Linked DNA regions of Yarrowia lipolytica. Each later gene encodes a partner of the first gene's protein in a complex. Links are inferred from orthologs where the notes say so. Each region holds a gene or a part of one and is shown in the gene's direction. Other genes may lie near its edges.

Evidence for each region.
Region 2: YALI1_F24126g (region 1) and YALI1_E02415g share a complex: the UniProt entries of both Schizosaccharomyces pombe proteins name them as parts of the mitochondrial large ribosomal subunit. The link is inferred for Yarrowia lipolytica from reciprocal best matches to the Schizosaccharomyces pombe genes mrpl37 and mrpl31.
Region 3: YALI1_F24126g (region 1) and YALI1_F13602g share a complex: the UniProt entries of both Schizosaccharomyces pombe proteins name them as parts of the mitochondrial large ribosomal subunit. The link is inferred for Yarrowia lipolytica from reciprocal best matches to the Schizosaccharomyces pombe genes mrpl37 and mrpl9.

Annotation. Positions count from the first base shown.
Region 1 is NC_090775.1:2,411,626-2,413,907, reverse strand, and holds YALI1_F24126g (mitochondrial 54S ribosomal protein mL54), read left to right. Parts: upstream 1-1,295; coding exon 1,296-1,616; downstream 1,617-2,282. Other genes in the region: YALI1_F24130g (uncharacterized protein), read right to left, coding at 1-900; YALI1_F24115g (uncharacterized protein), read right to left, coding at 1,946-2,099, 2,196-2,223, 2,270-2,282. UniProt on the Schizosaccharomyces pombe protein: Component of the mitochondrial ribosome (mitoribosome), a dedicated translation machinery responsible for the synthesis of mitochondrial genome-encoded proteins, including at least some of the essential transmembrane subunits of the mitochondrial respiratory chain.
Region 2 is NC_090774.1:240,426-242,611, forward strand, and holds YALI1_E02415g (mitochondrial 54S ribosomal protein mL60), read left to right. Parts: upstream 1-1,140; coding exon 1,141-1,190; intron 1,191-1,277; coding exon 1,278-1,566; downstream 1,567-2,186. Other genes in the region: YALI1_E02413g (uncharacterized protein), read right to left, coding at 1-960; YALI1_E02432g (uncharacterized protein), read right to left, coding at 2,098-2,186. UniProt on the Schizosaccharomyces pombe protein: Component of the mitochondrial ribosome (mitoribosome), a dedicated translation machinery responsible for the synthesis of mitochondrial genome-encoded proteins, including at least some of the essential transmembrane subunits of the mitochondrial respiratory chain.
Region 3 is NC_090775.1:1,359,071-1,361,717, forward strand, and holds YALI1_F13602g (mitochondrial 54S ribosomal protein uL3m), read left to right. Parts: upstream 1-1,201; coding exon 1,202-2,056; downstream 2,057-2,647. Other genes in the region: YALI1_F13597g (uncharacterized protein), read right to left, coding at 1-639; YALI1_F13644g (uncharacterized protein), read right to left, coding at 2,349-2,647. UniProt on the Schizosaccharomyces pombe protein: Component of the mitochondrial ribosome (mitoribosome), a dedicated translation machinery responsible for the synthesis of mitochondrial genome-encoded proteins, including at least some of the essential transmembrane subunits of the mitochondrial respiratory chain.

The DNA of each region.
Region 1 (2,282 bases):
TTGCAGGTCGGCAAATGCAGAGTTAGAGTTGAAAATGATGAGCAGTCGCGACAGAATCTCGGACAGAGAGGCGTCTCGGCCCTTAGAGCCTACTCCCTGGCTCTCGACACAGATGTTGTAGTGCAGACCCCACACAAACACCTGGGCAGCGATGGGTAGAGTGGTATCCTCGAGGTAGATCTTATAGTCGAAAGGAATGGTTTTGTAAAATTCGGGGTTAGACTCGGAAAAGGTGTAGAGATACTCAAAGGCAGCAGAGAGCACAGCAGAGGGGAACTTGGGATTCAACTCAGCCTTGGTCTTTCGCAGCTCCAGAAGAGCAGCCACGGTCTGGACGCCAGCTGGCGAAGAGGCGATGGCGTCGAAAATGTCATCGGAAGTCACGCCCATGTTGGTGAGCAGAGACAGAATGTTTTCGGCAAACTCGCACAGTAGAGTGAATTGATCTCCTTTGGGGATCTGCTGGGAGCCGTTGGCAATGTTCTGGCAGGTGGAAACAATCTTCTCCAGAGAGTCGGATGCAATCTTGATGACGTTCTTTCGGAACATGAACACGGCCACGTCGTAGCCCTCCTCCAGGACAATGTTTCGCAGCAGGCCGTACGACTCCATGACAACCTCCTCGGAAGCGTCAGGAAGCAGCTTGTCGATCACAGTCTGGATGAGCGACTCCTTGAGAAGCATCTGTCGCAGCTTAGGATCCTCGACCATAGCTGTGATCATTCCAATGGCAGTGCACTTGTCTGCGGGCTTGCCGCCGTTGAGCTTTTCTAGCAGAGGCAGAATCTTGGTGGTTCGTGTGTTTTCATCCTTGCGGTCGTCCTTGGCGGCCTGGGACGCCTTTCGGGCGATGGGGTTGTCTCGCTTGGTGTGCTTGGCTTTTCGCTTGATTTTTGCCATTGTGTTTCGTGGTTTTGTGTGTTCTTAAGGATGTCTATGAAGTTCTTTGATTTCTCACTCTGCACCAACTTCACAATTTTTTAAACTCGTGCGTCTCTAAGGTGCTTATTCAGCGATGGAGTGTAAGAGGAATATGGGTGAGTATTACGATATGTTTTTTTGTGTTTGTTTTTGTTTTTTGGTGAGAAACTATTCCAAAACACGTCGGAAAAACCACTCGCGGGTATTTGTGTTTCTTGCAGCCCTTCATATATCCATTTTAGCCACTTCTTTATTGCCGGCTACCACAAGTAGTGCTTCCCTCATATCCCTAACCCTCAGCATGGTCCTCGTCAACTGAAAAACTTAGCATATCGAAAACGACAAAAACGTCACTACACACAACTACACACAACATGCTTCGACTCCTGACCAGATCGCGGGCCACCCCCCTCCGTGTGATCTCGCGTGCATACTCCACCCCCTCGCAGCCCAAGGTGCCCTCCAGCGTCGCCGCAGGAACCGTTCTCAAGGGTTGCAACGTGCGAAAGAACGGCCAGGACCCCGTGGCCCTGGAGGACTCAGAATACCCCCAGTGGCTGTGGGACATTCTTGATCCCGCGGCCCAGAAAGCCAAGCTTGCTGCCGACCCCGTGCGAGCGGCCCGAAAGGCCCAGAAGGCTCGAGCCAAGGCCATTATGCAGGAGAACAACTTCGTCTCCAAGATGAACAAATAATCAGATCCGGCATAAGTCTGCCCAGTCTCATGTAAATATGATGTATATATGTTTTTTGGTTGGTTGGTGAAAGAAGAGTGTAGGGTTGTGGAGGCTGGTAGCGAGACGAGATAGGCACCTACATAAACAGTATGTTTTGAATACAACTTGTATATATATCATAGAGGACGGACATGAGCTCTATGGCTTCAGATATCTAACTGCTGCATCTGTTTTGTGGATCATCTACCCCAGATCACTACATCAGATTCATACCCCTTGTCAACTCACCACGTCCTCGGATCATGGGTAGTCCACTCAGTTAACATATCAATTGTCTATATGCACAATTACTCCTTTCCATCCTTGGGGAGAGGACCGCCCTTAGGAATCTCAACTTTCTGGGCGTTCGCCAGAGCAGCTTTTCGAGCCTCTATGCTCTCAGCAATCTCAGGATCGATCTTGACGCCGGGCTTGAGGTTTCCGTCGATTGCCAGCTGTTCACTTGGTTAGCTGTTGATTGAGATGGTTATTGGTAGCTGACGCGCTTGTTGTAGCTGTTTCTTTTTCGAGCAGCCGGTTCGTAGTTCCTATACTCACATGATGATTGGCTTGAACCAAAAGTAGGCTGTGTTAGTGGGTGAAAAGCTGAGAATCAAGGTCGAGTTACTCACTGGTCGATGCCAT
Region 2 (2,186 bases), on another chromosome or scaffold:
TGCATCGCCCCTGAAGAACTTCAGAGACGCGATTTCAAAGTTGGACCAGAAATGGCAAGTGGAGTATCCGCCAGCCTGGGCGTTCCAGTCTGGTCTGCTGGGGTTCAGCAAGAATTGCATGGCATTGTCTTTGTGCAGATACTCCTTGTTCTTCATCAAGAAGGATTTAGTTTCCGGCCATAGGGTGGCAACGGTTTTGGGGTTGTCAAACAATGCAATGGTGAAGCCATACACCTTGTCATTGTCCTCCATGTATGCAAATACATCGTAGTCGATGTCACAATAGTATTGGGTGTCGGGTTCAACGCGCCAGTACCAGTCATAATCGTCCATGGCCTTGTGCTTGTAGAACATACCCGAGTTCCATCTGCACATCTTGTGGTAGGAGTCCATGGCACCATATCGTACACCAGCATCTTCCAGCTTCTTGCCGGCCTTCTTGGCCTTGTCCTTGTCGATCCATCTGGGGGCGTCCCAGTCCTTCTTTTCAATCAGCTCAAACTTGACTTCAGAGTCAGTCTGTTCGCGCACCTTTTCCTTGAACTCGTCGGTGAACTCTTCATCATTGAAAAAGATCCAAGGGTAGCCGAATTTGTGATTGAATGTGTCCTCGACCTGCACCATGGCATCCACAATACCGTCCAGCTCTTTGTTTCGAACAAGAGAGATAAGAGCGGCTTTAGTTCGCCGCGTGTCAGTGGCGCGAACAAGAGGCTTGGCACTGACAGGCTCGTCCACCTCTTCAAGCAGGGGATTGTTCTTCGGCGTTAAGTCCTCTTTTGGTTCCGTATATTGCAGGAATGCATCGTTGGGTTGCTTGTAGATGCTCTCCTCTTTCAAGAAGTCCGCATGTGTTCTGGTCCAGTCATCTTGTAACGAGAAGTAGATCAGGAACACGAGCAGACCGAGCGAAGCCGTCACCAGCAGCAGGAATAGTCTTCTGACTATCAGCGGGGTCATATTGTTAGGATGTGGTCCTGTCTCAATCGATTATAGTTAATAAACCTGTCGCGACACGCGAACACTAATCTAGTGTGGGCGTTGTAAATATGTCCCAACCAGGAATCGAACTGCGGGATGGAAAATTCCTCTTCCATACTTGGTGAGAACACAGATACAGAACACACACCTCATCACACAATGTTTGGGCCTTTTCGACAGTCTATGGTCACCTTTGGTGGCTACGTCCAGTGAGTATCATATATGAGCGACACGAATGAAAGTGTTGCCTAGCTATGCGGGATTTTCCAGCCACTCAAACATCATCTAACCATCAGCAAGCAGCGATACCGATGGAGATTGTCTCCTACACAGAAGGCTGGCCAGCGAAAGCGAATGAAGGCCGTCGACTCAGTCATGGATGTTCTGCGATCTAGCATGGAGAAGCTCGGCGTCACTCCCAAGTTCCTCATCAAGGCTGAGACCGAGTGCCCTCCTTCTTCGGCCATGCTCCCCAAGGACAAGTACACCGTTTTCAGCAAGAACCACAAGGGTTACCGAAAATCCGTTCACCGGGTGCCCAACTTCACCAAGACTACCAACCGAAAGAATCCCCTTGGTTTCTAAAATCCCAACTATTGGCCCTATACACTTGTACATATTAAATTATCTGGTATGATGGGAAGATCCAGCTGTGGATCCGAGTGCTGAGATTAAAGGGAAGTAATGTTATTCATTGAAAGTACAAGTACGTAGTACTGTACAAGTCATTGTAGTGTAGCTAGTTCGTAGATTTTAGTTACAAATACTATAATGTTTCCGCTCTATCCGTAACACTTCTGTGTATTTGCATGTGGTAACAAATCTTTTGGAGCAAAATTAAAGAGATGGTATACTGACATGATTGTGTTGATATTAAGCTGATGTTACTGTAGAGGTGAGAACACACTACAAGTACAAGTACAAGAATTGGTAAGAAACTATGGTTATGCGACCAGCACCCTCCACTATTGTACATCTCTCGCAGTAGCTACAAGTAGGGCGCATACTGTAGCATATCAATTTGCTACAAGTACCGACTTCACTCTGCTCTCATTATGTAATTATAAATTAATCGTCTATTTAAGTAATGCTCATATGACCCAGCCAACATTTTTTTCACTTCTTTCGCTCAGCCTTCCACTTGTAGCTGACATTTCCATCCTTGACCACCTTCTCCTTCTCGCCTCCCTTAGCAAGTTCTCGAT
Region 3 (2,647 bases), about 1.1 Mb from region 1:
GAGGGGATCAATGAGTGAGTCGGCCAGGTTGACGACTCGTCCGTCTGGGAAGGTCAGAGACCACTCGAGCACTCGGAACTTTTCTCGGCCGGAGGCTCGTCGCGAGTTGAAATGCATGATGGCCTCGGCCTTGTTTCCCTTGACGGGGAAGGAGAAGTCCACCTTTCCAACAAGAGGACGAATGGTTCCCGACACCCAGGTGTAGGCACTGGCGAATCGGATACCCGAGCCCAGCTCCTCGTTGGCCAGGGGCGACTTTCGGAGCGTGTACATGCAAGATGAGACCTGCGAAGACGACATCTTCTCGTAGTTGAAGGAGAAGGCCAGAGACACGGTCATGATGACCACAAACAGACCAAATCCGGCCCATCGGCGCATCTTGTGGCTGGTAATGTTAGGCAGCTCCGTGTCCACGGTGACAGGTGCATTGGGCACCTTTTCGGGCGTGAACGGCTCAAAGGTGTGGCCCTCGTAACGTCGCAGGTTTCGGTCTTCGGGCAGCAGCTTTTCGTCGTCCTTCTTGGCGTCGGTCGACTGCTGGTGGAGCCACAGACGGCTGGTTGTGGACAGGGGTCGGGCGACCGAGAGAGGTCGCAGCAACGAAGGCAGAGCTCGTTGGGGACGCAGTAGTCGAAGCATTGTGTGAGTGTGTGCGAGGTGTGTGGTGGACTGCTCTGATATTGTAAGACGTACGGTATATTTGCTTTTATAGTTTGTATGGGTGTGGGTAGAAGGAGCTCTCCAAAGACCACCAGTAGCAGGTGTTTGGGAGCAAGTTGCACCGGAAAGAACTAACAGAGAGATTTGCACTGTAGATGTGGGTTGGTTTATGGGCAATTGGGGGGAAAAAGACCCCTATCGATGGTCATACTGTCCGCTTAAGATTACTTTCACCTCAGATTAACTTACTTAACAAACAGACTCAGCGTTACTTGAGAAATAGCTACAATTGTATCGAGGAAACAGATGACTTCAAACCAGCACCAAAAAGTGTGGGATTGAAAAAAATGACACCGGCAATCAACTTGCAGAGTCCACCATGGTATTTCAGCTCTTTCTCAGCCGTTGTCATTACCCCCCCTCGGTTCCTAAGTAAACGCAGGTTGGTCCTCCCACCTAGCTTCAAAGTTACCCTACCGTGAAATTTCCCAAGATTTTGACATTGCAGAACCACCACCCAGATCTGATCACACACACAAAAATGTTGCCTCGACTCCGTCTCATGGCAGAGGCCACTCCCGTGCGCGTGTTCAGCCGCGGCGTGGCCCAGCTCATCTCGCCCAACGCCAACGTCCCCGCCGCCGAGGCTCCCGCTCGAAACAACTCGCCTGCGGCCGCCTACGCCCGAAAGCAGCTGGTGTCTCGAACCGGAGCTCTGGCGTTCAAGCGAGGCATGATCTCGTGGTACGACGAGAACGGCGTGCACATGCCCGCCACGGTGCTGGAGATTGATCTGTGCCAGGTGGTGGGCCACAAGACCGAGGAGAAGCACGGATACAACGCCGTCCAGGTCGGAATGGGACACAGAAACAAGGCGCTGCAGAAGATGAACAAGAGCAAACTCGGCCAGTTTTCGGCCGCCACCGTCAACCCCAAGCAGGCGGTTGCCGAGTTTCGAATCCGCGGCAAGGACGGCCTTCTTCCCATCACCACCGAGATCACTGCCTCGCACTTCAAGGTCGGCCAGTACGTCGATGTCCAGGCCACCTCCAAGGGTAAGGGATTCTCCGGAGTCATGAAGCGACACGGCTTCTCCGGTCTGCCCGCTTCCCATGGTGTTTCGCTCAAGCATCGATCCGGAGGAACTACCGGTCAAAACACCGATCCTGGACGAGTGTTCCCCGGACGAAAAATGGCCGGAAACATGGGTAACGAGACCGTCACCCTCAAGAACCAAAAGGTGCTATCCGTTGACGAGGACACCGGAATTGTCATTGTCAAGGGCATGGTCCCCGGCTCCAAGGGCAAGATTGTCAAGCTCAGCGACGCCCGAAACATGTACGGCGTGGCCGCCCATGATGTCAAGTCCAGACTCGGTCCTCTGGTCCCTGAATAAATGTATATAGATCGCATAGTGCAATAACCGCGGAAGCGGATAACAGAGAATCGACGGGGTAGATAGATGGCTTGTAGAACCGCATAAGGTCGTGGACAACAGCCCTCTCCAGGCGAATCGTTGCTACAAGTAGTTGTACATACAAGATACTATTACAAGTACAAGTATACGGGCACAAATACTCGTACTAGTATCGTACGATGGTACACAGATATTTTCAACAATATATTTACTGAATGATATGGATGGTCTCACTTACAATTTTGCTCGGATCTTTGGCTCCGCTCATGATCTACAAATCCTCGTCCATATCGGCGGGCTTGACCAAACCGCCAATCTTGAGAGCCTTCTCCTTGTTCTGTCGCTCGGCCTCGACCCGATCCCGCTCCTTGTCCTCGGCGTACAAATGCTCCGTGTTGCCTCCGCCATACTCCTTGATCTGCACCAGGAAGTCTCGCAGATTGAGCTTGAACCGGGGGAAGTCCTTGTGTAATGCAAACAGACCCTCAATGAAGTTGGACACCTGGCCCTCGGTCAGATGAGGGAAGGCCTCCAGCAGCATGTGGCCCATGTACTGCCGCAGATAGACAG